Linked DNA regions of Diceros bicornis minor. The protein of the gene in region 2 interacts with the protein of the main gene of each other region in a biochemical or structural test. Links are inferred from orthologs where the notes say so. Each region holds a gene or a part of one and is shown on either strand. Other genes may lie near its edges.

Region 1 (10,347 bases), on a different chromosome or scaffold from region 2:
TACTCCGAAGCTCCCAGCCATCCTGCAACTGGGCATCACTCTCCCTATTTACAGATTTAGTGACCTGAGGCTCAGAGAGGGAAAGTAACTTGCTCCAGGTCACACAGCCCGGACCTGAACTCAAGATTCTCACCGTGGAGTCTGTAACCTTTCTCCTGCACTGCAACATTGCTCTCATGTGGTGTGCACATGCTGAACAAAAGCCTCTGTGCAAAGAAACCAGATAGTTCAGGAAGAAGGCTGCTAACTTTGGGGAGCTCCTACCGTGTATCAGGCCTTGGGCCTCCTCACTGCCCTATAAGCTAGGTATCATTCTCCCCATTTTATAGCTAAGGAAACCGAGGCCCTGATCACAGGAGCTGAGTCTCCCAGATTCTAAAACACATGTTCTTTCAGGTCCACAGGTCTCCCCAGACCTCACCGAGGCCCTGTCCGGTTTCACTGGGTTTCATAACTGGCTTCTCTGTTTACTGACCATTGTCCCAATTAGCAAAATCTCAGCCAGAGGGGCGGGTGTTTCCAGGAGGACCCAGAGAACAGCAGCGAGCCAGAAAGCAAACGAGCTCCAAGAGAGGGCTTCCCATGAGTGGCCGGCTGCCTGGGAAATCAAGAACAACAGTGTTTGGGTGAAGAGAAAAGAACAGGGTGGGGTCTTCCAGGCTGGCCAAGGCCTTTTGTACATTGTGGCTGGGGGCGGAGGGTGAGGCCGCCTTTTCTGGTCTCTGGTAGCTGCCCTGCCCTGGGAGGCCCAGAGAGACGTGGAGACAAGCCGTAGATCACAGAGGGAGCAGGGCTCGAGCTGGTTGTGGGGGTTCTGGGTCCAACTACAGGGGAGGGATGTGGGCTGTGCAGCCCCATCCTACGGCAGGCACTGAAAAGCTGCCTACTGTGTGCATGGCACTGGGCAGGACCCTGGAACACCCAGGACCAGAGATCAAGGGAATCTCTGAGGTCCAGAGAAGTGAGTGGTGGCAGAGCCAGGCTGCCTCCCAAGTCAGAGAAACCATGCCAGACCTGAGTGCCCATGAGTGGCACAGGGTGTAGGAGCTGCCATCCATCCTCCACCCAGTGGCCACAGCCTGGAGGTCTTCCTAGGACATGCCTTTGTCCTGGGCGCTCACATCAGGTGTGTGGAGGGCTACGGGGCTTCCCTGGTGCAGCCTCCTGCCCCGGCCTGGGAGGTGTGGTAGGGATGGCCGCCCCAGAGACTCCTGGCTGCCACGCTTCACTGGGGCTTGACAGGCTTAGCAACTGCAACCCTTCATCCGGAAAGGGCACTGTTGCTCCCCGGCCAGGTTGGATGGTGTCAGGAGACCCTGCTTGATCTCTCCAGACAGAGCTTGGGGACTGGAGCCAGCCAGACTTGTGTTTGAATCTCAGCAATGCCTATTTCCAACCTCAGCAAGTGACTGAAACTCCCTGAGTCTCAGTTTCCCTGTCTGTAAAATGGGAACTTTAGTGCTTATTTCCCCTGGTTGCTGTGAGGAGACTCAGTATTAGATCCCTCTTTCTTCCCTCCCTTCTCCCAGAGATGTCTGGATCCAGAAGCGGGGTGGCATGCTGCCATTGGTGATGGCGGTGCCTCCTTCTGCAAGTCAGGGGCTCTGGACTGTCTGATTCAGAAGGACCTGTAGAGGTGACCTGGTCCAGTGCCCCTATTTTACAGATGGGAACCCTGAGGTTCAGACACATGTAGGTCCTGGATATGGTTGCACAGCCAGTATCTGGGGATGCTGGGGCTAGGAATGAGACCTCAAATCAGAGCATTGGGGCCTACCCCGTCTTTCGCGTATGGAGACTCTGAGGCCCGGACAGGGACAGTCACCCAGGAAGTCAGTGGCAGAGGCAGGCCTAGCACTGGGGCCTCTTCCTTTCTACCTAGGGGTCTTTCTTTTGCACCCAAGTCCCCTGCTGTCCCGAACTCATACATTCTCTTCCAGGCAGGGAGCAGCATAAGACCATGTTGCCCCCATTGCAGTCTCCGCATATCACTGCACTATAGCGAGAGTTTCCGGGCTGTGGGCTCCCCCAGGACAGGGGCAGGGCGTGTTCACCAGCTCTCCAGTGCCGAGGACCAGGCTCCAGAACTAGTGGCCGGCAAAGCAGTAGGGCCTTTGTGATCATTAACCTGGGGGCCACTGACCCAGGGCTGGTGGTCCATGACCCCTGAGGCCAAGGCCAAACCACACAACCCTCTGTTAATCACCAACTGTGTGGTCAGGGCCACACTGCTCCAGGAGGGACTGCCAGGCTGGGCCAGCTGCCGACTGAGGTTCACTCTGGGGGGTTGGGATGACACGGAAATTTTCTTCTGACTTGTTTGGATTTTCCCATTTGTCTAATGAGCAGGCATCACTTTAAGTGTATTTTTTAAGGGTATTATTCCTAGATCAGGGATTAACTAAAAAAATAAATAAATAACAACTACGTTGGATACATACATGTAAATAGTTTCAAACCCTACAGCAAGTTTTTAAAATTGTTATGCAAGTATATTGAGGTATAATTTACATACCATAACAATTCACCCATTGTAAACATACAGTACTGTGATTTTCAGTAGATTTTTCAGCTGTGTAATCATCACCATAATCTAGTGTTAGAATGTTTTCATCCCCTAAAATGTTCCCTTGTGCAGACTGCAGTAATCTGGGCGCTTAACTCCAGCCTCAGGCAGCCACGGCAATGTTTAAGAGTGAATGTCTCCCCCTTCACCCCTTTCAAGCAAACCGCCTTGACAGTTTGTCATTTACCCTGCTGGACTCTTTAAGGATCTATGCAAAAACAGACACTCTTATAAACGAGAGGAGAGGAGCCACACTGTAGTCGTTGTAGAATTTGCTTTTTGCACTTGGGGATCTCTCCATGCTCGTGGAGTGCCTACTATGTGCCCGGCACAGTAAATCTAGCCCATTCCTTTTTCACAGCTGCAGAGTGGTCCATTGTACGGCAGCTCCATGATTTATTTAATCAGGACAATTGAGTCCTTTCCAGTTTTCTTCAAACAGTGCTTCAGTGAACATCCTTGCACATATTATTTTTGTGTTCCTCTGTAAGTAATACTGAAGGACGCGGAACTGTTGCTGCATTGTGTGTTTCAAATTTGGATAGTCAAATTGCCATCCGGAGAGGTGAAACCGGTTTATGCTTCCATCAAGAGCACATGAGAACTGTGGGGTTTTTATAATCCTCCACATGCCTAGGGAGAGGCAAGAGCCCTCTGAATTTAGGCCAGAGCCGGCCCACTGCAGGCTCTGCAGGCCCAGGCCTAGACTTATAGCACTGAGAACTTGGGCATCTCTATGTGGCTCCCCACAGACGCTGGGATAAAGTTCAGACTCTTCAGGGTGGTGCACGGGCTCCTGTGACTCCTGCCACCCTCTCCAGCCTCATCGCCTCTCGCTGCCTGTGTTTCAGACTGGACCTCTCATTATTCACTGCTTTTGCTTGCCCTTTGCCCATGCCGTTCCCTCGCCCCCCTGCCCCCCAGAATGCCTTTTCTTCTCAGTCTTCTTCCTCCCTGTCCTTCAAGGGACAGAGTCTCCTCTCTGTGTTCCCTTAGCCCTTTATCTGACCCACAATCCCCCTTAAGTGGGAGGAAGTTGCATTGGTGGAGGGCAAATTTCACCCTGATTAGATAGAAGCTGGGCTCCAGGAAGAGCTGGGACAGGTAACTATAGCTTGTGGGGAAGGGGGACGGGATCTTCCATTTACCTAGTTGCAGGCCAGGCCATTTTCACACACGCAGACTGATTTAATCCTCAGCAACTATATACCCATTTAGTATATGAGAAGACTGAGGCATAGAAAAAGAAAGTAACTTACACACAGTGGAGGCGGGAATCAAACCCAGGCCTCCAACTCCCTGGTTCTCTTTCCTGTCGTTGCACCAGTTGTTGGGGAGGGGGAGATCCGAGATGCAAAGAGAACCTGGAAATAAAGAAGTTGGGTCCAGCAGAGTGGTGGGAGGGAGGAGAGACGGGTTGGTGGAGGTGGGAAGTGGACCTAGGTGAGTTTGAATAGCACTTCTCCTAACCCAGTGATGGGAAAGGAGCCTGGGAGTGGGGGAAGAGACTTAAATCCTTGCCTTCTCCAAGGGGAGCCAATAGATAAGATGTAAAACTGGAAAAAAAAAAAAAAAAACCCCAAAACAACAACTACAAGAAGCAAAGGAGGGCTTGTTATTTAAGACATGAAGGTAAACCCTGGAATCATCAGCTAAAGGAGGAAGATGGATGTGCCTGCCCCTGGGGAGACGTGAGTGGGGTTGAGAAAGAACACCTTTGTACAAATCCGTGACTTTAAGTTTTGATAAAAATAAAAGTTTTTTAAAAAGAAGGAAAGAAGGGCAGTCTTGAGGGCAATGATGGAAGTTGAGAGGTCTGCCCGCCCCTCTCTGAGTCTCTCTTGTTGACCGGCCCAGTGAAGGGAAGCCCCTTGCACTGCTGCCCTAGTGGCTGGCAGCCGCATGCTACCTAGGTGGGCGTTCCACTCAGACCCCCTGGGTTCAAATCTTGGCTGTACCATTTCCTTGTTGTGTGCACCTTGCTTGATCATTCTGCACTCAGTTTTCCCCTCTGTAAAATGGGGCTGTCCATAGTACTCTGTAAAGGATGTTAGGATGTGTCAGCTTTCATATGATGTGTTCAAGTCTTCAATAAATGTTAATTCCTGTTATTTTTTGCTGGAGGTGTTAGTGCGGAGAGGGGAGGGGACTTGCGTGGGTCACACAGGAGGCTGAGTTGGGCCCCCCGCCTTTCGTGCGTGCGCCCATTTAGTGTGCACTGAGTTAGGGCCTGCTGTATGCCAGGCCGTGTGCTTGGTCTCCGCCCCAGAGCTGGAGTGAAGGAGTGGGCGCGCCCAGTCGGGTCGGCCCGGGTGGGAACCCCGATGTCTCCAAAATCCAAGCCAGATCCCCGCCCCTCCGAGGCCCGCGGGGGCCCAGCCCTGTCCCACGCCCTCCCTGCGGGGCGGTCCCCAGCTTGGGCGGGATGGTCGGGCGGCTACTTAAGGCCGGCGACCCGGAGGCAGGGGGTGCCGACCGGGTCTTCTGCCGCCGTCGCCGCCATGGCTCCGCACCGCTCCGCGCCCGCGCTGCTCGGCGCGCTGGTCCTGGCGCTGTGCGCGCTGTCGCCGCCGGCCCGCGCGGCCACCGCGTCGCGGAGGGCGGCCCAGGCACGGGCGCCCCAGGGACGGGCGTCCCCGACGCGGGTGAGTGCCCGGGGGGCCCGGGGGCTCCCGGAGTAACTCTCTATTGTAAGTTCTTGCAGATACAGCACTAGGAAAAGGGGAGTAATTCAGGTCTAGAATGGAAAAACTGTTTTGTTGCTTTGTAAGTATCTCTTGCTGCTTCCGGGGCTCCCGTGGATGGGGGTGGGAGCCTCGGGGCCCTGGCTGTTTCCCTCCCTGGAGGCTAACCTTACCTTGGCCGGATTTCTTTTCCCTCGTCGCTGCCTCTGATTTCTTACCCATCCCTGCCGCCTGATTTCTCCTTTTCCTTGTCTCATTTCTCCTTCCCTCTGCCTGATGTCTCTCCTTCCCTCTTCTGATCTCTTCTTCCATTTCAGATTCCTTTCTCATCTGATTTCTCTCTCAGTCTCCAATATTTTCTGCCTCTTTCTTTTATGATCTCCCCTCTGCCTGCTTATCTTCACAACTATTATTGACTCTCCCCTCTCTGATATTGTAACCGCCTGCCCTCCAGGACCGGTTCAACTGACCCCCTCTCGTGTCAACAGAGTGATTAGTTATCTTATCAACAGAGTAATTGCCTTTCAGAAAATTTGCAAAGTCTGGTAGCCAGAGCATGTGCAGAAGAAGAAATTGTGACCTGAAATAACCACAGAACCAAAGATGCTCCTCCAGAACCCAAGGACCGGGACATGACTAGGATTAAAAAGTGGGCCTCTTATCAGAAGCCGGGGGTCCCTCATTCAGGAAGATCTGGTGTTAAAATTCCTTCCCCACCTCATCATAAATGTTTAGAACCCTGTCATAAAGGCTTGAAGCCCACCAATCAAAACCTATCCTGCTATCGTTTCCACCTGCCAGCCTGTTCTCCGTAACCTCTTAAATGTAACCCCAAATCCTGAATGGGACATACAGATCCGAGGGCACACTCCTCATCTCCCTGCAGATCGATCTTGCAGAATAAAGCTGATTTCTCCCCCAAAAGCTGTTGCCATAATTAATTGGGTTTTTTAATGCACATTGGGCAAGAGAACCTCAATTTTGTGCGGTAACAATATCTCCTCTGCCCTGTCTGGTTTCTCCTCCTCTCTCCTGCTTCCCTTTTGTTTTCTCCACCCTCTGCCTGAATTCTTCTTCCCATCTGGTTTCTCTGACTTCTCCCACCAGATTTGTCCTCCGGCCCGAGGTGACCTGCGCCTGCTGATTTCTGCCCTCTGGCTCCAGGCTAACCATCCCACTCTGCTCCGTCTCTAGCCCTCTAGCCCGAGTGCATGTCTGAAGGCCTTTCCCCATCCTTGGCCACCTCATCTCCAACAGGCTCCTGCAGACCCTGGCTGTGTCCTCTCCGCCTTTTCCAAGAAATGGAATTTGGGGGTGGGGTGTTGGGGGGCAGGAGGGAGGAGGCAGACAGCGCAGGAGGCCACTTGGGCTTAGTCATCTAGGCCCTTCTGGGGGGTGTGATGGGGACATGGATGGGGCATGAGATATCGTCCCACTTCCAAGAACAAAAGCAAACAAGCTGTGTGACCTTGGGTTAGTTTCCTCCCCTCTCTGGGCCTCAATTTCCCTATCTGCAGAATGGGTTTGGATAATGAGATTTCTGAGGACCCTTCTAGTTCTAAGAGCCACTGAGGATGCTGGAAGGGAATACGCTGAGCCCTTGGGGACCCCAACTTACCATTTCCATCTGAGGGGGTCTCCCTATGGTCCCAGATCTCAGGCTCTTAGAGCCTGGGGCAATTCCTCCTATGCCGTTTCCTAGCAGGGGTCCTTGGCAGAGTCACTTCAGCTCTCTGTGCCATAGCTGTACTATCCAATTGGTACTAAGAAGGGAAAGGAGAAGGGAGGTAGAGCTCTCTGTCCCTCCATCACCGGGAGCTGAGTAGGAGAGACAGACGCTGGCTGGGGACAGGGTTTTAGCCTACACTCTGCCCTGTTTGCTCACTCATGGAGACAGGGGTCATAGAAGTGGGGAGACTCACCTAGGGGGTGGGGAGAGTCAGAGGCTCAAGTGAGATGCTCTTGGTGCTGGAAACCCCCCTCCCTCGTGCCCCGGGGTCTCTCCGCCAAGGCTCCTGCCCCGCTCAGGCTCTGCCCTGTCTCTTCCAGCCCAGCAGCATGGTGGTGGAACACCCCGAGTTCCTCAAGGCAGGGAAGGAGCCCGGCCTGCAGATCTGGCGTGTGGAGAAGTTCGACCTGGTGCCCGTGCCCCCCAACCTTTACGGAGACTTCTTCACAGGCGACGCCTATGTCATCCTGAAGACGGTGCAGCTGAGGAATGGGAACCTGCAGTACGACCTGCACTACTGGCTGGGTGAGCCGCCCCGCCCAGCGCCCTCCCCCGGAAAGCACGGACCTCTGAGGCGTGGTTCCCAGGAAGCACCCATGGGCGCTGACTATTGAGCATCAAGTACGCGCCAGGCCGTTGGCTAGCGGTTACGTGTCCCCAGACTCTAGAGCCAGCCTGCCCGAGTTCAGACCCAGCTCTGCCCTTTGGCAAGTCACTCAGTGCCTCTGTGAAGTGGACATGGTGATAGCGCCACCTCCCTCACAGGAGTGTCGTGAAGGTTAAGCCCATTACTATGGCCCTCAGAACTGGAGGTGACTTGGGGACCCTAGACTCCCCCATAGCTTCCCTGACCCAGCTCCAGACACACCCCAGTTTCCCATTCAGAGTCAGGAGCCTGGAATCCTTGCCACGGGTCTGCTGTGTGACTCTGTAAGTCATGCCCCCTCACTGTGCCTCAGTTTCCTAATCTGTGAATAGAGCCTGTGCTCCCAGGCTGAGAGTGAGTGTGGGGGATGAGTCAGAGCTGGAGGACTCTTGGAGACCGTGGAGTCCAGCTCCCCAGCTCCCCCGTTATACAGATTGGCTGAGGTTTATGGAAGGCAGGGGCTTGCCTGGCTTCCACCGCCAGGCCAGGGCAGTGCTGGGGGCTCTGGACTCCTCCTCCGTGGGAGGCTGGGACCACTTTCAGGAAGCCAGGCTCATGCTGCTCTGACGTCCCCTATAGGCAATGAGTGCAGCCAGGACGAGAGTGGGGCGGCGGCCATCTTCACCGTGCAGCTGGATGACTACCTGAACGGTCGGGCTGTACAGCACCGCGAGGTCCAGGGCTTCGAGTCGGCCACCTTCCTCGGCTACTTCAAGTCTGGCCTCAAGTACAAGGTGGGTCCTGGACGGTGGGGACAAAGGCACCAATGGCAGGGCTCACTCAGGTCCACCCATCTTTCAGCCTTGTGGGGTGATGTGGGCACACAGCTCAGAGCTCAGCCTCTGGAGTTGGCTGGATCTGGGTTTGAATCCTGGACCCTTCCTAGCTGTGTGACCTTGGACAAATCACACTCCCTCTCTGAGCCTCTGGTTGCTTATCTTAAAATGGAGAGAAGAAAATTCTCCATCACTTCGCTGGGTTGTCATCCTAGCCCCAGCAGCAAGGAGTGGGCCGTGGGTGGAAACCCAGCCCCTTGCTTGCCCGGGGCTTGAGCTAGCCCTGTTCCTCCCCCCTTAGTTCTTAGGCCCTGCCAACACAGGGCCCGTGTTAGGTATTTGAAAAGGCACCCTTGATCACATTCCTCTTTCCGTTCATTAGAATCCCCCTTGAACTTGAACTCTAAAGAGTCTGAGCCGACACAGAGCTCTCCCCTCAGCCCGCAGCCGGTTGGGGCTGAGCAAAGCTAAGCTAGGAGCCCGGAGAGGCTGTGCCCTAATATCCTGTGTGACTTCTGGCAAGCCACTTGGCCTCCCTGAGCCTCCCTCCTCTCTGGTTAATGAGAGCCAGTTGTACCTGCCCTTCAGGCCTGGGGAGAGGATTTGGTGAAGGGGTAGCTGGGAAATGCCTTGCACAGGACTTGGCACCTTGGAGGAGCTCGGGGAAAGTTGTAGTTTTGCAAAGCTAGGATTCTCTTTGGTCAGGATAGGGAGGGGATCATAAGCTTTGATAGCCAGATGGGCCTCAATGTCAGAGTCCAAATCTCTTATTTTAAGGGATGGAGGGGAAACTGAGGCACAGAGAGGTTAAGCAGCTGGCCCAGCATCACACAGAAGTCAGTCCCAGAGCCAGGACCAGAACACAGATCTGACTCTCAGCTTTCTTTCCACTACACCAACTTGCCTCTCAGGAGCAGGTTCTATGGTAGGGGTCAACTCCCCTCTGTGCCGCTGATGTGCTGTGTGTCCTTAGAGAAGTCATCACCCCTCACTGGGGGCCTCAGGGTTCTCTGCGTCAACAGGATAGTGACTCTGCCCAGGTGAGGCACAGGGGATTAGACAATGGGAAAGCACTAGCGAGACTGAGATAGCAAAGGGCAGGGTGTGTCGTGGGAACAGGGCCTCAGCCCTGGGCCGGGCGGAGCTGGGCCGGATTCCCTGGAGCCTGCACAGTGCCCCCTGCCTGCCAGTTCCCCCCAGGGCCCGGAGCTCCCCCTGCTGAGCTGTCCAGCTCTACATTCTTCCTACAGCCTCTTCCGGGGCCTTGGTACTTTGAAGAGGGAGAGGTGAGAAGGTTGGGACCCAAGCCCCTCACCTGGAGAAGGACCAGACCTTTTTGCAGCTCCTGGAGCAGGAAGTGGAAAGAACACTTGACCAGGAGTCAGAGAGATTGAGGTTCAGGTCTCAAGGCTCCCCCCGCCCCTGACAGCTGTGAGGCCCCGGGCCAGTCGTGTCTTCTGGGTGTGGGCTCTCACGTATTCCCCATTCGCTATTCATTCAGCAGACATTTATGGAGCCCCTGTAGGAACAAGGCCTGTTATTGTCGCTGCTGTGTGGACAGCAGCAACCTCTCTTGTGGACAGGTGAAGCAGTTACACAGCGGGTAGATGACGGAGCTGGGATTCAAACCCCGGTGTGAAGGGCCTAACACTGCTGGTTCAGAGTGGACATTGCAAGACTCCCTGGTCTCTGATCTTCGCCCAGATGGGGCCTAGGAATCTGCATGTTTAGCAAGCCTGCCCTACCCTGTGATGATTTTTCCAGGATGTTTTTGGACCACACTTTGAAGCATGCTCCAGGGGGTTGGTTTCCAACCCGGCCTGGATTTGAGACTTGAGTCCGGACAGGCCCTGGCTCCTGGTGGAAATGTGAGGTCCAAGGCCGGCCCTGTTTTCCACCTTCTGCAAGTCCTCCGGCTGCCCCCGCACTTGGCAGGCCCAGCCCAA
Region 2 (10,347 bases):
GTGTCAAGGATTAAGGCAGAACTTGAGATACACAGTGAGAGACCTGCTGAAATCCTTAGTGAAGTAAAAGGCTACTGATACCCTCTGTTTTAGGGATTTTGTTTTTGAAGAGAACTTTTAAAAATTGAATTCTGTTCCTTTTTTCCTTTGGGATCTGAATCATAGTTTTCCTGAAGCATCACCCACTGAGCGTGCTGGGGCTATGTAGGAATCAGGGTGTGCGCACACTTCCCCTCTGAGGCAGATGGTCTTCTCCAGTAACTCGAACAGAAGGAAAGCCACTCCGTGGTGACGTTAGACTCGCTCTCACTCTGTTGTGACCCAACACACTTGTATATTTGGAGGCTGATAACTACAGAAATATTAGTGTAGCCCCCTCTACCTCTTCCTGGACATTTTATTCAGAGGATGCCTGAGGAGAGAATAGCTCTACATATTTCTATGTAAAATCCACTCATTAAATACCAAAGCACATTTTAAAAAATCATCTTGTATAATTTTCAAATTAAAAAAATACTGTAGGGCCAGCCTAGTGGCATAGCAGTTAGGTTCATGTGTTCCTCTTTGGTGGCCCAGGGTTTACTGGTTCGGATCCTGGGCGAGGACCTACTTACCGCTTATCAAGCCATGCTGAGGCGGCGTCCCACATAGCAGAACTAGAAGGACCTACAACTAGGGTATACAACTATGTACTGGGGCTTTGGGGAGAAAAAAGAAAAAAAAAAAAGAGGAAGATTGGCAACAGATGTTAGCTCAGGCCCAATCTTCCTCAAAAAAAAAAATACTGTAGAAAATGTGAAACGTACTTTTAAAAAACGTATATGGAAGAAAATAAACCCCTGTAATCCCACCAGCCAGAAATAACTTCAGTTACCATTTTGAAATATATCTTAGAATGTTTTGGACTGTGCATACTATTATATTTTGTAACCTACTTATTTTGATGTGAGATTGTGAATATTTCTATGTATCTTTAATCCAGTGTTTCTCAGCCAGTTTTTCATTATTACTCCTCCTAAGGAGACTTTTTAGACAGTTTTTTCCTAATCACTCCACTCCCCCATCACCGACCCTTGTGAAGTTTAATACCACAGATAATGCTGTGTATCTTTTTATGGACCATGGTCTCTCGAGGCCACAAATCATTGTAATATCTAAGATTTTTTCACCCCCCTCCCCATCAAGAGCCAATTTTTCCCTCTCTTTGAGAATGCATGTGTTCAGTATTCTTTAAGATACCATTTTTTAATGACTGCAGGACACTTCACCATATGGCTGTACCATAATTTATTTAAAAGTTCTCTGTCTTTCCGCCTCTGTCTCACTCTTTTTAACAAACTTAAAACACTTGAGTTAATGGTTTTGGTGGTTAGGTTTTTTGGGGTTTTTTCCATTTTAAATAATACAAGAATAAATCTTTGTACAAAAATCTTTGTGCACTCCAAATACATTTAAAATTACATTGGCTCTTCCTGCTGAGTTAATGATGACGTTGATATGTGTTTAGTGAACAGTTTTAATAATTTTTAATATCCTCTGCTCACCTCTCGTACCTCCTCACCCCTCTCACCTCCTCCAAACACTTAGAAGAAAGATACTGTACCATTTATTGAGTGTTTCTTATGTCTCAAGCATTTACCTAGTTTTAATCTTCAAATCAGTCTTAAGGAGTAGGTGGTATCCTCAGTTGAGAATGCTGAGTCTTTCTGGAATAAGGAGTAGGTGGTATCCTCAGTTGAGAATGCTGAGTCTTTCTGGAAGTGACCTGCCCAAGGTCACATAGCCAGTCAGAGTGGTCAGCATAGCCAGATATGCTTTACTCCAAAGCGCAAGCTTTTCACTAGTTCATTATATCGGGTGTAAGAAGGTAGTGGGGGAGGAGAGAGGACGGATCCAGTAGAGTCATCAGGCCCTGAGAGATGGCCAAGGCAGAGCAAGTCCCCCAGTGAGAAGACCCCCAGCAGAAGATCTAAGCCGTCTTCCTGACTGCCATGGGTTGATGTGACGTTTTCAGATGTGTGGCTTGTGAGAAGGAGTTTGGTTTCTTCCTTTACCCACCTGGTCACTGAAATGTGTCTGACTGAGTGTTGCCAGCCAGCCCCACTCACTATTCTCTTTGAGACTATAGATGATAGTTGCAGAAGCAGCCATGACTTCATTTCAGGATGCCTTTGGCCCTTCATTGGAAAACATCCCTTGAGGATCTGTTATGTTTCCAGAACCATTCCAAGTGTTGGGGAGGATTAAAGGAAGATAGAAAGCAGTCCTTGCCCCGCCCTGCCCACTTATAGTGGAAGGAAAGGGTTGCCCAAGCCTCTGCTCGCCTGCTGGCTGCTCTGGGATCTGGGATGTGTTGTCCAGTTCAGGGAGCCTTGGTTTTCTTATTTTTAAAACAGAAATTAATAGTACCTATCTTATTTACCTCAGGATAGTTAAAAAAATTAATGGGAACAACATGAAAGCATATAAAGTGTTTTTACTAGTTCATGTTTAAATTCATAGGAAATCTGATAGAATACTGAGCAAGACTGGGATACACAGACATATGAGGAGTTGAGAGGACAAGGCTGGAGAGAAGGGAGGTGTGAGCATGCTGGCTGAGTTGAGGCAGGAGGGCCCTGTCAGAGCATCAAGACCTGAGGCTGCACCTGAAAACTTAGAAGCAGGAGCTCTGTGGAGATGCCCTACATGGCTGACCTTTACTCGGTGATGGTTCTCAAAAGGGTATGCAGGCAGTAACCCACTTACTCAGGCGAGAGCAGGGCACTGGTGTGCTCCCCAAAAGTGTACATGTATGGAGAGGGCTTTTCCACCCGCTCGTTCCCTAAGCCAATGAGAATTCACAAGACCAGAATGGGACTGAGCCCGGCCCCGTGGTGACCCAGCAGAGACTATTTAAAGCAGCCCTGACCGTGGGCAGAGAGCAGAGGTCTGGAGGCCATCTCCCTGAGGTTTGCTGCACTAGCAGGTCTCCATTAGTGTGTGAGTGTTTTGTTCATAGCTTTCAAATGTATATTTGACTCTAACATTCTGAGCTTAAAAGGGTTGGTCTGAGCAAGAGTTTTGAAAAATATTCATAACTCCATTCCCCTTTAAGATGTCAACAAATTCTTAAGTCTTCAGTGAATGATAGCATGTTTCCTACCTTCAAGGGCAAAATATAAGCAATTTCCCTTATATTGTACATATAGTGCATTTGCCAAGTGACTTGTTTCTAGTGTCTCCGTTGCCCACTGACACAGAGGACACAAGGTATTAGAAACGAAATGGAGTTGTCATTCATTCACCCATTCTCTAAAATAATTGAAAAAGCTAAAAACAAAACCACAGTAGCTTTTAACTGGCCCTCTGTGCTCACTACATAGGCTTCATACTAACCAAACTCCCTATTTTTTAGCTGACGTGCATCATTTTTAGGAAGAGGTGCCATGATGTGGGCTACAGAGGAGGGTTACATATGCTCTTACATCCCTCAAGAGAACCCACACCTGTCCCAGTTGCTGACTTCCACGGCCAAATGTGAATTGCAGCTATTTTGGGAACATGTAAGCACATCAGAAAAATGAGTGATTCCATTCTGGCTTGCACCACATCAGTGATGTGACATGTTACAGCACGTCACTGAGTTCATCACAGAAAATTGTTTCTCCTCGTGCCTTCTACAGCAAGGTTAGAGCTGTACTTGTCCCCCCAGAAAAGAAAAAAAGTGAGACAGGCACCAACTGGATAACCTCCTCTGACCTCCACTCTGCCTTACCATAAGTGGATCCAAATCCTTCTAGAAAATTTGAAAGGCATATCCCCATCTATCAGTGGTATAAATAGAAGCGCTTCAGCAGGCTCCGGTAGGTGGTGACTCCAAGGTGGACTGGGAAGCAGCCTGGCCTTGGCGAGGCCTCATCCTCTAAATATAAAGATGAGTGTGCGCAGCCTTTGCAGAAGGAAAAGTTGCTCCTCATCTTAGAGAGCAATGTCCTTGTCCTCCTTGTTGGGAGGAAGGACGAGCAAGGCCTCATCCAGTAAGAACACCACCCGTTTCCACCTCTGGGTCGTGGGTTGTGACCCTTGCCTTTCAGCCCCAGGAGAGAGACACTCAGCCCCACCAAGGATGTGGGGGTAGGTGCTCAGCTAGACGCATGGCAATCTGGGACGGCTGGGTCCGAGAGACCACCCCCAAAATTCACTCCATGAATCCCTGAGCGCGCTGCGCGTCACCCAGGCGGACAGCTCCCAGTGCCTTGGCTTTGTGCCCGGCGCTGCCAGAGCCAGTGCGGGAGACCCTCTCCTCCTCCCGGCCACTCCGCCCTTGCCTCCTGCCGCCAGTTGTCCGCCCCGCGACAGCTGCGCGCCCTCCCGCCGCCGGTGGCCCTCTCCTCGGTGGAGGTGGGGGCCGACTTGGTCAGCGCTCGGATACGGGGAGTTCAGGGGTGGGCAGGGAGAAATGAAGTTCACTGGGGAGGTGAGGAGGGTCGCCTTCCCTGCCTGGGACGCAGGCTGTGGCTGCTCCTGTCCTCTCAGGCCCACCACTTGGGCACGGCTTCCTCCTCCCTATGGCCGCAGGTGAGGGTTTGGGGGTCTGAGTAAAAAACTCGAAGAAGGAGTGAAATGTGGGAGGCGCCTGCCGGAGCGCCCAGTGCGCGCAGAGCGGACACGGGTGGAGAGGCCTTTCGGACAGGTGCAGCTCCGGGAGCGCAGGCGCACACACGAACCCACAGGCGCACGCGGTGACCCTTGCTCCACCCCATCCCCTCCAGCGGGCAACTGAGCAGGATCGGGAGGGGCCAACCCGCCCGGGACACACTCCATATACGGCCCGGCCCGCGTTACCTGGGCCCGGGCCAGGCCGCTCCTTCTTTGGTCAGCGCAGGGGACTCGGGCGGGGGCCCAGGCGGCGAACTGGCCAGGGGAGGGGGCTCTAGTGCCCGACAGCCAAATATGGCTCGAGAAGGGGAGCGACATTCCTGCAGGGCGGCGCGGGGGGAGCGCCCGCGGGCTATATAAAACCTGAGCGTGGGGACAAGCGGCCACCGCAGCGGACAGCGCCGAGAGAAACCTCTTCCCTCCGGCGGCGACCAGGGCCTGAGCCAGAAAGCAGCAGGTGTAGCCACCCGCCCAGGTAGAGTGGGAGTGGGGAGGGGACAGGGGGACAGGGCTCCACCTAGGGGAGCCTGGAGAATTCCAGGGTAGAGCCTAACCGACTCACTTGATCAGCCCCAGACCTGCACCCTGCGTGCTGTGCCTCGGTCCCCAGAGCCACACGCACTTTAAAGAGGAGACACTAGAGGATCAGCCTTTGGAAACATCTCCAAATTTATCCCCAGCCACTTTGGGCTGCTCTACCTGGCATTTAGTATGTGCCAGGTAGATTAAATGTTCTGCTTTAGTCGTCCCAAGGGCAATTCCCTCCCAACTGAGCACCAGAGCCACATAGAAGCAAGGGCCGCTACTCCCTGGGCTCAACATCAGCAGAAAGGGTGTGTGTTGTGAGTATGGAATGTCGTGGGGGTCTGGAATAGGCCATTCCTCCCTGGGTGCGGTGCCAGAGCCCTCCCCATGGGCAGCTTCTTCCACCCTCACACTCACCCAGCAAACAGGTATCGCTGTCCTTAACCCTCAGATGAGGCCACCGAGGCGCAGAGAGGGTGGGCGCTAGCATTTGGCTCTTGCAGCTGGTGGCCTGCAGCAAGGCAGAGAGGTCTCAAGGGACAATGTGCGTCTGGGTTCCCGGGGTGTAGAAATTATCAGTGTGGTCTCCACGACCCTGCGCCCCCCTCCCTGGCGCAGCGCAGCCTTGAGCGCAGGCCGGGTCTCTTTGGCGGCTCCCCTGGCCAGATGCGCACGGCTAGGGGCTGAGGGTGTCCATACTTCCCGGGGGAGAGAGGGCGCTCGTGCCGGCGGGGCCTCCTGCGCTGACTCGCCGTGCGCCTCCGCGGCCTTCTTGTCCTTGCAGAAACCAGACACCATGTGTGACGAAGACGAAACCACCGCCCTCGTGTGCGACAATGGCTCCGGCCTGGTGAAAGCCGGCTTCGCCGGCGACGACGCCCCTAGGGCCGTGTTCCCCTCCATCGTGGGTCGCCCTCGTCACCAGGTCAGGCTGCCTCTCAGCGGAGGGAGCCGGTCTGGGGTCCCCGCGTAGCCCAGCCTCGTGCAACTCAGAGCAGCGGTAACGTGTGCATCGTGTCTCCACTCCGCAGGGCGTCATGGTGGGTATGGGTCAGAAAGATTCCTACGTGGGCGACGAGGCTCAGAGCAAGAGAGGTATTCTGACCCTGAAGTACCCCATTGAGCACGGCATCATCACCAACTGGGACGACATGGAGAAGATCTGGCACCACACCTTCTACAACGAGCTCCGCGTGGCCCCCGAGGAGCACCCCACCCTGCTCACCGAAGCTCCCCTCAACCCCAAGGCCAACCGCGAGAAGATGACCCAGATCATGTTTGAGACCTTCAACGTGCCCGCCATGTACGTGGCCATCCAGGCCGTACTGTCCCTCTACGCCTCCGGCCGTACCACTGGTGAGTGCGCGCGGGGCCACATAGCCCAGCCCGCGGCTGCGCCCCTCCCCCAACGCCGCGCCCCAAGCCCGCACCCAACACTTTCCCACCCGCACAGCCAGCACCTAGTGGGGGCCTCGCTCCCACCGGCGGGGCCGGTCTGCTGCGGCCCGCGCCGGGTCAAGGGATGCCCGGAGGCCTCTCTCAGCCTCGCGCGGCGCCGCCAGCCGGCCGAGCCGCTCACTTGCTGCCGCGTCCCTTCCCTACCCCCCGCGCAGGCATCGTGCTGGACTCCGGCGACGGCGTCACCCACAACGTGCCCATCTATGAGGGCTACGCCCTGCCGCACGCCATCATGCGCCTGGACCTGGCCGGCCGCGACCTCACCGACTACCTGATGAAGATCCTCACTGAGCGTGGCTATTCCTTCGTGACCACAGGTGCGCGGCGGCCAGGGCACCCTGGGCGGGCGGGCAGCGCGGGCGGCCCTGGGCCCTGAGTGAGGGCTCCTCTCCCGCCTCTGCCCCCCGCAGCTGAGCGCGAGATCGTGCGCGACATCAAGGAGAAGCTGTGCTACGTGGCCCTGGACTTCGAGAACGAGATGGCGACGGCCGCCTCCTCCTCCTCCCTGGAGAAGAGCTACGAGCTGCCTGATGGACAGGTCATCACCATCGGCAACGAGCGCTTCCGCTGCCCCGAGACGCTCTTCCAGCCCTCCTTCATCGGTGAGCCCCGCCCGCCGGCCTCCCCAAGCCCCCGGGCCGCGCCCGTCCCCGCCTGTGCCCGCCCGTTCCCTGGGGCCCGTCCCCGCCACCGCGCCCGCCTGCTCACGCTGCCCCCTGCGGTCCCCAGGCATGGAGTCGGCGGGCATCCATGAGACCACCTACAACAGCATCATGAAGTGCGACATCGACATCAGGAAGGACCTGTACGCCAACAACGTCATGTCGGGGGGCACCACCATGTACCCGGGGATTGCTGACCGCATGCAGAAGGAGATCACCGCGCTGGCCCCCAGCACCATGAAGATCAAGGTGGGCGGCGGCCCGCGCCCTGCGCCCGCGAGTGGCTCAGGGGTGCGGCCCCCCACCTGACGCGCTGTCCGCACTGTCTTGCAGATCATCGCCCCGCCTGAGCGCAAGTACTCGGTGTGGATCGGCGGCTCCATCCTGGCCTCGCTGTCCACCTTCCAGCAGATGTGGATCACCAAGCAGGAGTACGACGAGGCCGGCCCCTCCATCGTCCACCGCAAATGCTTCTAGACCCCACCCCACAACGGCGCGCGAATTCTCCTCAGGACGAAAATCCGCTCAAGTTGCAGGCGGCTGACCTCGAGCCACCGGGCAGCAACTTTCCAACAACTGTCGCTGCTGCCGCCGCAACCCGACACAGTGTTTATAACGTGTACATACATTAACTTATTTACCTCACTTTGTTATTTTTAAAACAAAGCCCTGTGGAAGGAAATGGAAAACTTGAAGCATTAAACTCTGCCATTCTGTTTTGCTGCGCAAAGTCGTTTGTTGTGTTTACTTGCCGGGGGTGGGGAGCGGGTGGGGGGGACGGGAGGAGGAGGGACCCCATATTCTGACGTCACTTTTCACAATACTCCTAATGCGTGCGCTCCTGACAAGACCGTTAGTTAAATCTTCCCCTGCTCACGGTTTCCCACTCTGGGTCAGATCCATTCCCAAACACTGGCCGGCCCGTCAGTTGTGGCCCGACTTGGCCCTCTGGTGAGCGGTGAGGCGTCCCTCTCCCTCTGTCGGGCCCCAGTCAGCAGCCGGCCCCGGGGCGGCTGCGGGCGGGTGGCCCTGGCGCGGCGCAGCGGCGGGCGCTGACCGTGGTGCTGGGGCCGAGCGCCGCCCGCAGAGCGCATTTCCGCTCCACCCACGGCGGGCGTTTGCTCACTGAATCGGTGATCGCCCCTGAATCTCGAGATCTAACCGAAAGCATTGTGTTCTGCATTTAATGAGCTGGTTTTCATTTGTAAGTGAAGACAATCACTTCTCTTCCCAATTGGGAAGTCCTTTGCTTCGTGGTAGGTGACGGTGGTATGAAGAAGCGCCCCTTCCAGTATGCGGCTGGGGAGGAGCGGCGCCCAGAGGTGGGAGGAGGGCGAGGGAGGGCCGGACGAGCGCCCCAGAAAGAAGGACGCCGCACGCTGGGCGGGGCGGGCACTGAGGGCGCCCGGCAAGGAAGCGTCTGCAGGGAGGGGAGCTGAGACCGGCAGTGGAAGAGAGGAGGAAGCGAGGGAGAAGGAAGAGCCACCCCCCCAAGTTTTAAAGGCACAAATGTATTAACAGAGTTTGAGTTTCTACGGGGGAGCATAATATCTTTTTTTTTAAGTAGCTTATTGTTTCCTAGTCAAGAATCCCAAGAGCAGTAGTTCCTAAATAAAATAGATTCTGACTCCAAGAACAAAGTTTACAAGGAGAATTAACAAATAGCAGTTATATGCCACATACCAGTATGTTTAGTCTCTCCTTTTATGGCCTATTGAAAAGCTTCTGGAATCTTTGAGGCCTCCAAGGTAGGAATACTGCCAAATCCACATATCAACAGAATCAACCATTCAGTAGAATTTAAGGTTTTAATAAAACAAGTATATGATATCATGTCCACTGAAAACCATTGGTTATTGCCCCATCCAGGGTGGGTAACAATTAAAAGTGGATTAAATTCTAGTCTTTCAGAGGAATCCAGGTTTTATTGATAATAATAAACATACACATGCATATCTGAGCAAACACAGCACACACATGCACACAGCCTGAATTATTCAAGTAGCCCACAGCCTGGAAAAATGTCAGAATTAACGTGAGTTAACTAACTGTCATAGGAAACATTTTTTAACCAAAATCCCAAAACACTTCATTAGGATTTCAATTCTCAATACTCCGAATGCGTGTGCTCCTGACAAGACTGTTAGTTAAATCTTCCCCTACTCACGGTTTCCCCCTCTGGGTCAGATCCGTTCCCAAACACTGGCCAGCCGGTCAGTCGTGGCCCAACTTGGCCCTCTGGTGAGTGGTGAGGCGTCCCTCTCCCTCTGTCGGGCCCCAGTCAGCCCGACAGTTAGGGCTGTAAGGAGGTAAGTTAGATCCGTAAGGAGGTAATGACCCAGTTCTCCTGTGATCATAATCAGTAAATGATTCATGATCATTTAGAACTCACAGAAGTTTTCAGTGTAATCTGGTAGTATTTCCTCCTGCACCACCTTTGACACTATTCTTCTACTGAAAACGTGCAAAAATTATGAATTGTGTGGTTTCACTGGAAATGTGCCAAAACTAAAAATTCCCTTCCTTTTCTGACACTTCTCTAAAAAGAAACAAGCATCACACATTTTATTAGTGTTCTGTACCTTTCCTGCTTTCCTATTAGGTTGTGGTTATAGGTATGTTACCTATGTTAGTCCTGAGAGAGGATTTTTGGTGTGGTGTAGTAAAGAATGAGTCTTTTAAAAAATATGTCTAAAACCTGTACCAATGCTTGTGCTGGGTGAGGAGAGAGGTAATTATTTTCGCAGCTCTCTGAGAGCGTGTAGTAACGAGAAGCAAGAAGCCCCTGTGTGGCTGCAGAGTGCTTGGCACTAGAGCGAATAATGTCATGGCTGATTCTCCACTGAAAAGCCATCTCAGAGAATCAATTTTTGGAGCAGTGAGAGAATTGAAAACAACGAAACATTTCCCCCACCCATTGCTTGTGGTGTGTTTCCTTAGAGCTGGCAGTAGAGCTTGTCAGGGATCTAAATGCACTTATTTCCTTCTCACAGACGGTTGTTAAATTACCACCAATTTTCTTTCCCCACCAAATCTGTATTACTAGTTTCCAGTTGAAGAA
Region 3 (10,347 bases), on a different chromosome or scaffold from region 2:
GACTTCTATCATCATCTTTAATTTTAAACATAGGTTGACGAACTCACTAGATATTTAAATTCCTCCCTTACACTGATTGTTACTGAGGATTTACCACGTTGAGTTTCTGTGCTAGCTGCTGGAAATATCTAGATGAACAAGTCGAACTAGAGTAACAGCAGAGCACAGAGAAGGGAAGACTCAGCACAGCCTGGAAATTCAGTTCTCTTCCTTGCTCTTGAATGTGCCTTGAGTAGGCACATTCATGTGCCTACTCAAAATTCCCCCTAAACACATCTTTCCCCAAACTAAGTGCCTCCTCCAGTGTGTTCTATCCCAGAAAACAGCATTAATACTCATCCACTTGCTTAAGTCAGAAACCTGGGGGATCACCTCTGACTCCTTCTCCCTCCCAATATCTCGTCAATTATCACCCCCTGATTCTGTCTTCTAAACAGTCTCCTCATCCCAATGCCAGTTCCACAGGCCAAGCCACTGTCATCCATTGCCTAGACTTCCAAAACAGCCTTCAAACTGGTGTCTCTGCATCCACTCTTACCCCCCCTCCATTGTCCACATACTCACCTCTCAGCATATTCGTTATTGTTTTCATCGTCTGCCTTCCTAACTAGGTTACAAAGTCCATGAGGACCATGGAGGTCTGTACACCATTGTAGCACCAACAGCCTTACATGATACCTGGCTTAAAGTGGTGTGAATTAAATATATGTTAAATAAATAAGTGAAAGTCTTCTTCTATTGAAAGATAAGAGAGCAAACACAAAATAGAGTATGGGGTCTTCCAAGGAAAGAGTGTGCACATAGACCTCTGGAGGCCCAGCAACACAATGTGCTCAGTGAACCACAAGCAGTTCAGCTGTACCAAGTTTTAACATGGAAGGCAAAGAGTACCTCACAGAGGCAGGTAGGATGCAGTCTTGAACTTGAAGCGCAGGCGTTTAACTGAAGGATAATAAGTAGGGAGGCAATAACATGGTCTTATTTGCATTTTAGATAAATAATGACAGCAACAGAGGGAAGATGGGTCTAAAGGTACATTAGTTAGAATGCTTTTACAGTAGTTCCCCTCTTTCCACAGGGGACACGTTCCAAGGCCCCCAGTGGACGCCTGAAACTGCAGATAATACGGAACCCTGTGTATATAACATATTTTTTCTTATACATACATACCTATGATAAAGTTTAATTTATAAATTAGGCATAGTAAGAAATTAACAACAGTAACTTCTCTTTGGCATATCTGAATTGCCAGCATCACTACTCCATTATTATTGAGGCCATTATTAAGTAAAATAAGGGTTACTTGAACACAAACACTGGGATACCAGGACAGTCCATCTGATAACCCAGATGGCTACTAAGTGACTAATGGGCAGGTAGCCTATACAATGTGGATACGCTGAACAAAGGGATGATTCATGTCCCAGGCAGGATGGTACAAGATTTCCCCACAGTACTCAGAATGGTGCACAATTTAAAGCTTGTGAATTATTTCTGGAATTTTTCATTTAATATTTTCTTGCTGCAGTTGACCACGAGTAACTGAAACCACAGAAAGAAAAACCACAGATAAGGGAGGACTACTGTAATTGCAAATAACAGAAATGCAGCTCTAATAAGCTTAAGTAAAAAGGGAGATTTAGGGCTGGCCCAGTGGCATAGCGGTTAAGTGTGCCCACTCTGCTGCTGGTGGCCTGGGTTCGGATCCAGGGCGCACACCGACGCACTGCTTGTCAGGCCATGCTGTTGCAGCATCCCACATAAAGTGGAGGAGGATCGGCACAGATGTTAGCTCAGGGCCAGTCGTCCTCAGCAAAAAGAGGAGGATTGGCATGGATATTAGCTCAGGGCTGATCTTCCTCACAAAAAAAAAGGGAAGATTTATTATTAGGATTTGGAATTTCTCATGGGAATCAAGAACAGGGAATGGTTGGGGTATGAGAGTACCCTGCAATCTAGATTATCCTCTGTTTCTGCTCTTTACCTCAACTTCAAGGATATTACTTTAAGCTACTAACATTCATTTCATCAGGTCATTTATCGGGGAAAGATATTGATAATGCACTTTAACAGTATAAAGAGAATTTGAATGAAAATAACACTCTGGAAAATGAAATTGCCACCAACTAATTGTCCCAAGGAACTCAACGGAGATTTCAGAAGCATTTAACTGTTTCTCCAAATTGCTTTCTTTCTTTTTGTTATGTTAAGAGATGCAATCACCAACCACCCTGAACCAGACCAAGCCTCACCACAAGAGCAACGCCTATGACCTTTGCCTCATTTTTAATGCCAAGATCTCCTCTCTGGGAGGAGCTTAGGCCTTACTATCATAACCTTTAGTGTATGGGGAAGCATGTTTTCCAACTGAGGCTGCATAAGCTAATACCCACCATTCCCTTTTGAATATTCAATCCCCATCTGAAATAAGAGGCCCCTGCTGTCCCCAGCTCCCTCAGGGACAACCACAACTTTAGAAATGCTTCCTTGTGGTCTCCTATTTGCTGCAAAAATTTCTACTTTGTGTGATAACTACTTCTGGTCAAGAGTCTGATTTTAACTGGCCAAGAGGCGAACCCACTTTTGGTTCAGTCACAAAATCACTGGAAGAAGGTCATTTCTACTGGAATACTATAATGGAAGAGTTTCTAAGCAGCCTGCAGCAGCACAAAAATCTTAAAGATACTGCTTTGGTAAAGAGTGTAAGATCTAAGAGTTACCAAAAAAAGAGAATGTGATAGGGAAAGAACTAAAGATGAGTTCTGTCTGTCTCACAATTTTGCCTAGAACTAGCCTTGTTTAGGGGAAACCCTACATTTCTTCTGAAGTCAATGGTGAAATAGAGAAAGAGGAGGGAGACTACTTCAAATCAATTCTTCACAGGCAACACAACTCCTGTAAAATTACACCACTTGAGTATTTAATGAATAATTCTTTTTACAAATCTATTTCTGTAATAAATTCCTGAGTTGCTGTAACAGAGAGTGTCAGAAGATTTGACTTGTCCTTTTTCATCCTTTTCCCCCATCTGACTCACTGGAATAGTCATTGCAACACGAGACTTCATATTTAAGCCAATTATGATTATTTCTTCCCAGTTTTAAAATCGTTGTAAGCAATCAACATTTGAAAGATTAAGGAGAGTTACACAAATAAGACTGAGAAAAGGTTCATATATTCAGCTACTAGCATGTGAGTGCCAGTTTTCAGTTAGAAAAAGATAAACTCAGCCAAGAGAATGCACTTGGCAGCTTGTGTAGAGATTTCTCAAGAGCACACCTAAACGAGATGTTGCAATTCTTGCTACATGTGGTTTATCATTAAACAAAAGTGGCAGATGTTGTTGCAAAAGCAGAGATAAAGTTATGTTTTTAAAAAGTGAAAGAACAGGCTAATCTTAAACTCTGTAGCAAAATTAATGGGAAACAAGTGTATCTTAAATGAACTGATCAGAAGATGACTGAAGCACTGTTAAACAAACTATACAAAAGTGCACATGTTGTATTACCTTAAAAATGGAAACTATAATGTGTTAACAGTTATTCTCTGAGTTCTGGATTTCTCAGTTATTTTTAAACTCTTTGGCACTCGTTTAGAGTTTCTTTATTTTCAAATAATTTACAGTAACACTAAAACACATTTTTTAATTAACTCGCAAAGTAAATTAAGAGTTTAGCCAAAGAAAAGGTTTAGAAAATCTGTAGTAGGCAGGAAGTTGATCTTTGAACAGCATTTGGTTGGTCCTTGAACAGCAAGACTGTCTTCCCATACTGCCTCTAGCAATGTTTACAGTATCTTCTACTCTCCTTTACCATGTGGATTTCCATTGGCCTTACAGAGATATCTCTGCTTTGATCTTGCTTAGTTATCTTCTTCCAACTAACGGGACTCTATTTTCTGAACCTAACACCCAACTATTTTTAATATAGATGGAGGATCTGACTAAAAATGTAACTGCCTAGTGTGGTTTGAGACTTTGATGGAATCTTCCCATGCAGTTAGTCCTTAGCAACTAAATGGATATTGGAATTCTAGATCACTTACCTGTTATGGTACTAAACCCAAGATACAGGGCTGGCTTTAAAATTTTCCACTAACCCAAGACAGAGGGCTGGCTTTAAAATTTTCCACTGAGTTCCAGGCCTCATTAGTTCAAAAGACCTTCTCAGATATCATAAATTTGGTGAGCTAGTGGAGAAAGTGGCAATAACTAGAATAAGAGTAATAGCTAACATTAATGCATGTTACCACGTGTTTGATGTTACGGTAAACCAAGCACATGGATTATCTTAAACTCACAGCAAAGGTACTAAGAGTTACCACCACTTTGCATATGAGAGACACAAGGCTTAGAAAGACAAAATTTCCCGAGATTACACAACCAATAAGAGCTGAGTGGGGATTTGATTCCAGAGCCTGTGTACCCAACCCTTACCTGACCCCGTTTCCTGAAAAGAGAGCTACTGCAAGAATCAGGAGCTGAGCCAATTCCAATGATGGAATGAATGTGACTACCTGTGCCTCTCTGGGCAAGTCACAGAATCTATCTGGGGCTTAGCTCTCTCTTCTGTAAAATGAAGATGTTAGATTCCGCGTTCTGCAAGGCCACTGTGAGCTCTCAGGTTATATTATTCTAAAATATACCAGTTGTACGGTATTAGTAGAAAGAACTTTGAGTGAGCTCAAGATTTACCACCAACTTTCATGATTTGGGACAAGTCACTTAACCTCCTCTGTTACTATTTGCCTTACTAAAAGAGTTATTTTTAATACATATGTCAGTGTTTCAAAAAGTACAACATGGCACAAACATAAAGTACTATCCCATCATCTTCAATAAAATTATTTTATAGCATTGAAATTATGGATTTGAGCAATTGTAATAAGTTGGCTTCTCACTTCTTTTTCTCCCCCTTATGACTTAAAAACATCTAGTCTGCAATATTCTAAGGTAACCCTTACTTGTAGTAGGTTTAAACGAAGAGAGAGAGAGAATCTCTAAGTTGTCCATTTATACATGAGAAGGGTAGAGAACGTCCAGAGACATAACCCTATAAAGGGGGTGGGGCGGATGTGCCCACTAATACATTAAATAAGTTTCAGTAAAAAGCAGTATGGAAAAAACATCTATGTGTACCCTGACTCTTGTGCAGTTTGACTCAGTTAATGATTAAAATCGCCTAGATTTTCCACTATGTTTTCCCCAGGGTGTCTATTTGCTTTGATTGACATTATTTTATCTCTTGTGGGCCTAGGATGATTACCCTAGCTTCAGCGTAAAGATTAATAATTGATTAGTCTGTAGTCGGGAATCTTGGTAAAAGGAAATTGGTTACTTTTGGCTGCCATTTTTTACCGGGTAACCTCCAGGAGACGGGGGGTGCTGAAGGACTTGCCAAAGGAAAATGAAGAAGATCCTGGCTGTCCTGCTTGCTGTAGCATTTGTGCATACTCTAGAGAGAGGTAAGACTTCTATGGTGTGACCATTTACAAGAACTCTTACTAGTCTAATTTTCTGTTACCATTTTAAAAGTTATACAAAAAGGTGAAAAACAGAAGAATTGGTGAATATGTTGGGGAGAGAGGGAAGCAAAGAGAGATTAATCTGAGTTCTAATATGCCATATAGTGTTCAACTGGAATAGCTAAAAAAAAAAAATCAAGATAAGATCTCAGGAAAGAAAGAAATTATATAATTTGTCAATTATCCTTCCCTGCTTTTTTGATAACCAAGATATGGAGAGAATGGTTTGAAGTCAGACATTTTGTAATTGTTAAAATATCATGCAAATGGAGGCTGTGAGCCATCACTGAGCATTTTTTTCAGACTTCAAATATTTATTGCCGTTGAGAGCATAATACACCACATCAATGATGCATGGAGTCAACTGAGAGATTTCGTTGATCTTCTTCAAGGAATCCTGTATGCAATGTTCGAAAATGCACTGTAGTTTCTAAAATATCCCACATAAAATAAGAATTTAATAGTTATAAAAGATGACTATTAAGATAATTGAGCTATGTTTTTCATTAAAATTATTCTTCAAATGGTGTCTTTATCTCTGAGCAAGGTTTAAAAACCTTTTTCAATGGCACAAGCTGAAATTCTATGAAGTATACGACTTTATGGAAAGTTCTCGAGTTGCAAAATTCATAGTCAGTTTCAATTTACTTTTCTGGCTAATTCTTTAATGCTTATAAGGGAATCTGCATTCATCCTGCTTTGAAAAATTAATTTTCATGTAGTGCTGTCAGTTAACAGCCTCACCCAAGTCATCCATTAGTATTCATATTCATAATATATTTAACCAGTGGAATAAAACATGTGGATCCCAGAAATTATCAGTTATTAACCATGGCATGAAGACTCCTGACTTTCTTATTCTTTTTACATTCACTTTTCCTTGATCTTACTTTTGCTATTCCAATTATTTTAAATTTTGTCTTATTCACCCATAGATCCTTAAGTAAGCTATGGATCTTAATGTAATACTACAAAGTCTGAGATACATTAGGGTATAAATAAGTAAAATAAATTATGTCCCTTACAAGCCCTCTCAATAGGTCAAGTCCCAAGAAACACTGAACGTTTACTCCATCACCCAAGGTTTCCCTGGGGCAGATCTGAATCTGAAAAATTTTACTGAAACAGGTTCAAATCACGATGGTCACAACACAGAAGGTCCAGTCATAGCTAGTTCTTGGAATTATATGTGGACGCCATAATGTGGGACACGAGTCACCATTTTGGACTGCTGGCTTAGTAAGTGTAAATTGGCTTCACTTCAAAGAATTACAGTGTCCTTTGGAGAATAACAGTATTCTGCAACCTCTATTTCAACGTCCTTCAGCATTCTCTCAGACTCTGATGAAATGGATGCTAAAAGCCTCAAGTCAGCTCCCTTGAAGGTCTGAACTTCGCAATGAACAAATTACACAGGTGCCATAGAGATATACCCTGAGACATAATGTACGTTTGTAAGTAATAAATGTTCAATACTTGGGCACAGTAGTCCTGACCCATCCTCTGTTCTCTAATACCTGAGCATGACCCAAATACGAAGGCTGCGATTTACCTGGAAGCTAGGTGTGCTATCTCCTGGCAGGAGGTTACAAAGTGTACAGATTAAAGAAGTTAAGAGGAGCCTTGGATGGTGGGGGATTGGTTTGGGTTGCAGTTCTCTCTGCCCATTATAGTTCTAGAGGGCTGAACAACCACCCACAGAATTTATCTAGGACACCTTTCCAAAGTGTATTTCACTCAAGACTCATCTTGGAAAAAAGTTTCTGTGGCCAAACACATTTAAGAATTAAGCCATATATTAGTCCTTCTTGGTTGGTTCACAATCAATGCCTTTTGTTGTCCTAAAGGTCGTGAAAAGTCATACAAGAAGGAAACTTTACTTAACCTAGAGTCTCCCAAACATATAGGCTCTTTCCTACAATAGCTATATCCCATGAAAGTATTCTTTGGAAAACCTCAGGTCTAAAATGGATACTGCTGCAGCTCAACATAAACATCCGCTCTAGTCAAGCCATCCTCTCCTTTCAAATGGCACTGGGGGTTCAGTTCATAAGCCCTTGGGTACATCTTGGAAGAGAACACCTTACCTTTAGCTACCCCATGAGAGGCCGAAAGGCTGTGTTTGCCAATTGCCTCCACTTGGCTTCTTTCCTCAGGACTGAAATGGATATGGCACTCATCTAAAATGCATCTTTGCCTCTTCTCAAGAAACATACAAGAAGGCTGCTGACACAGCTACACAATTACCAAGGAAGTAATGCTATAGGAAATAAACCACTGCAGTTTACAAGGGATGTTGGCAAGAACAGGATATTTATTATAAACATTTTCCTTTTTGCTTTAAGCATTTGATTCTAAGCACATATATTTTTATTAAACATGATCTCAAACACCAAGAAGAAAGTAAATCTCCTTTGGATTGGTGGGTGAGCTGTATTTTTCCTTCTCCCACTTGCCTGTCAAAATAGCCCTAGACAATGTGGGTTACCCCATCTCCCAAACCACCACTGAATCACTTCTTCTCTTTTCTACTAGTTGCCCCTTCATCAGTAGCCATGTTAAAAAATAAATAAATAAATAAGAGGTGTCCTAAGTTTGATTCAGGAACATAGTTGTACAGAAATGCCAGAGAGAAATAATTTAGGATAAATAGACATCCTCTCTATTTTCCCAGATATGTCTTTATATCCTCTCTGCAAAACCTACGTAATGGTTATTGAGGAGGTGACATGGGATTTGAGATCTATAGTGAAAAGAAGACAGCTATGTAAAGACCTAGAAGTGTGTTTCCACCTGAAGGAACTCAGGTGCACAAGTCCTGAGCTGGGAACAAGCATGGCCTGATCCAAGTTCCCAAAGCAGCCAGACTAAAAGCATAACAGAGGCTTCGTCGAGAAGGGAAAGGAGGAAGAGCTGCAGTCAGAGAGGCAGATAACCTCATCATCAAAAGCAATGTTAACCTCCCTGGAAATCAGTAACAATGTCACCCTTCCCTGTTGTAAGGTGCAATGACAGGTATGTACTCACTATCACACGTGTGGTGTAAGGATAAGTATACACGCTTTAAAAGGCCATGAGATTAATCTATATAGGAAGGAGAAGAAGAAATCCTTAAAAGGAATTAATTACCTTCTCCCCAGATATCTATGGTCACTTAACTTCTTTATTCTGCCCAGTGCTCCCCTTGTCTCTCCTACTTTCCCCCAGTTCACTCTGCTTCAGCCACACACTCCCGCACTATGTACTCTGCACCTCGAGGGTTTGCACTAGCTCCTCCCTCCTCTTAGAACACTGATCCCCCTATATCCACATGCTCTCTTCCTCACCTACTTCATGTGTCTGCTCCAAGTTCATGCATAGAGAATGCTTTCCTGACCACCTGACCTCAAAGAGCACCTACAACTCCACTTTTCTCTATCCCTTTATTCTGTATTTTTTTCTTTTTAGCACTCCTCACCTTATCACCAGCTATGGTTTATTACAACAAATGTAAAATGTAGAATGTAAGCTCCATGAAATTGAGGACTATATATTTGTTTCTTGCTGTAGTTCCTTTTAGAATACTACTTGCCATATAGTTAAGTGTTAGATAGATCTGTGTAAAATCACAAAATTAGGATTATTATACCTACCTCATAAGGTAGTTCAAGTATTTAAGGAAAATTAAATGCCAACTAGGACGCATAATAGATATCCTGAAAGGAGTAAACTCTGTAAGTCTTTTGCTATTTTTGTTGTAATTATATATTAAGTTTCCACCGTGAAGCATTAGCACTAGATTTTATGCACTGAATAAAATAGCTAATATTTTATTTATAATGTGCCAGCTTGCTTAAAATCTTTTGGATAAATTTATTTCATCCTTACAACACCATGATGAACTCGGTACTATTATCCCAATTTTACAAATGAGGAAAACTGAGAGAAAGAGGGGTTCAGTAACTTATCCAAGGTAACTGAGCTAGTAAGTGGAAGAATCAGAATTTTACATAAATTCATTGGGTTTATAATGACAATGCTCGCAATCACTGCTTTGTGGCCTCTCATGAGAGAGATACCTGACCTACGATCTTTCACTAATACGAGAATGAGTATAAGAGAGAGAGCCAGTCACTATAACACCAATTTAGGCAGAATTAAGTGAAATTCATGCTGCCTACTATGGTCATCCATAACTGATCCAAAGTCCAGTTCATCCCTATTCCATGAAACTGGTTCTGTCTTCTAACTTCCCTGTTTATTTTCCTGGCACCATCACTTCTGAATCATTTATTTTCAATCCTGTAGAGACTTCTTGGATTTTATTTTATTCATTTTTGTTACCTATATTCAATCATTTCCATATTCTATAAGTTTCAGCCTTGTACAGAGCATTCTACTGCAGAAACCTCCTCAGTATCCCCTTTCTCTCTCTCCTTTACCTCCTGCATGTATCTAGTTCCCAAGGCCTGTGAACACTAGCTTTCATATCTTTTCTGTTTCCATTTCCATACACTGTCTTTGTCTGGGCCCTTGTTCCGCTTTACCTGCCTATTGTAATGGCTTCCTTACCAAATCCCTACCTTCCAGCCCTTCCCCAATCAATTCATATTAAAATACAAACTCTGACATAATGCGGTAAGTGGAGTCCAAAAATGAATTACATAAAAATCAAGATCACTATTGAGAGATTAATGAAATGATGGGGTTGAGCATGTGCAGCTAGATTGTAGGATTCCAGGCATAAGGCCGTCTGATACAAATCCACTCCAATTCTGGTCTCTGTTTGGAGTCACCTGATGATGGGTATGACCTCAGGCTTAAATAGTAATGAGCATATGGTAG

Evidence for each region.
Region 1: the proteins of ACTA1 (region 2) and GSN are reported together in a solved structure, tested with the Homo sapiens proteins (3 studies listed by BioGRID and IntAct). The link is inferred for Diceros bicornis minor from reciprocal best matches to the Homo sapiens genes ACTA1 and GSN.
Region 3: the proteins of ACTA1 (region 2) and GC are reported together in a solved structure, tested with the Homo sapiens proteins (2 studies listed by BioGRID and IntAct). The link is inferred for Diceros bicornis minor from reciprocal best matches to the Homo sapiens genes ACTA1 and GC.

What each region holds. Positions count from the first base shown.
Region 1 is NC_080767.1:28,446,925-28,457,271, forward strand, and holds the start of GSN (gelsolin), read left to right. Parts: upstream 1-5,052; 5' UTR 5,053-5,067; coding exon 5,068-5,211; intron 5,212-7,299; coding exon 7,300-7,504; intron 7,505-8,204; coding exon 8,205-8,359; intron 8,360-10,347. UniProt on the Homo sapiens protein: Calcium-regulated, actin-modulating protein that binds to the plus (or barbed) ends of actin monomers or filaments, preventing monomer exchange (end-blocking or capping).
Region 2 is NC_080745.1:26,367,695-26,378,041, reverse strand, and holds ACTA1 (actin, alpha skeletal muscle), read left to right. Parts: upstream 1-5,019; 5' UTR 5,020-5,116; intron 5,117-5,950; 5' UTR 5,951-5,962; coding exon 5,963-6,091; intron 6,092-6,197; coding exon 6,198-6,522; intron 6,523-6,779; coding exon 6,780-6,941; intron 6,942-7,034; coding exon 7,035-7,226; intron 7,227-7,353; coding exon 7,354-7,535; intron 7,536-7,619; coding exon 7,620-7,763; 3' UTR 7,764-8,016; downstream 8,017-10,347. UniProt on the Homo sapiens protein: Actins are highly conserved proteins that are involved in various types of cell motility and are ubiquitously expressed in all eukaryotic cells.
Region 3 is NC_080747.1:58,069,126-58,079,472, reverse strand, and holds the start of GC (vitamin D-binding protein), read left to right. Parts: upstream 1-5,405; coding exon 5,406-5,463; intron 5,464-10,347. UniProt on the Homo sapiens protein: Involved in vitamin D transport and storage, scavenging of extracellular G-actin, enhancement of the chemotactic activity of C5 alpha for neutrophils in inflammation and macrophage activation.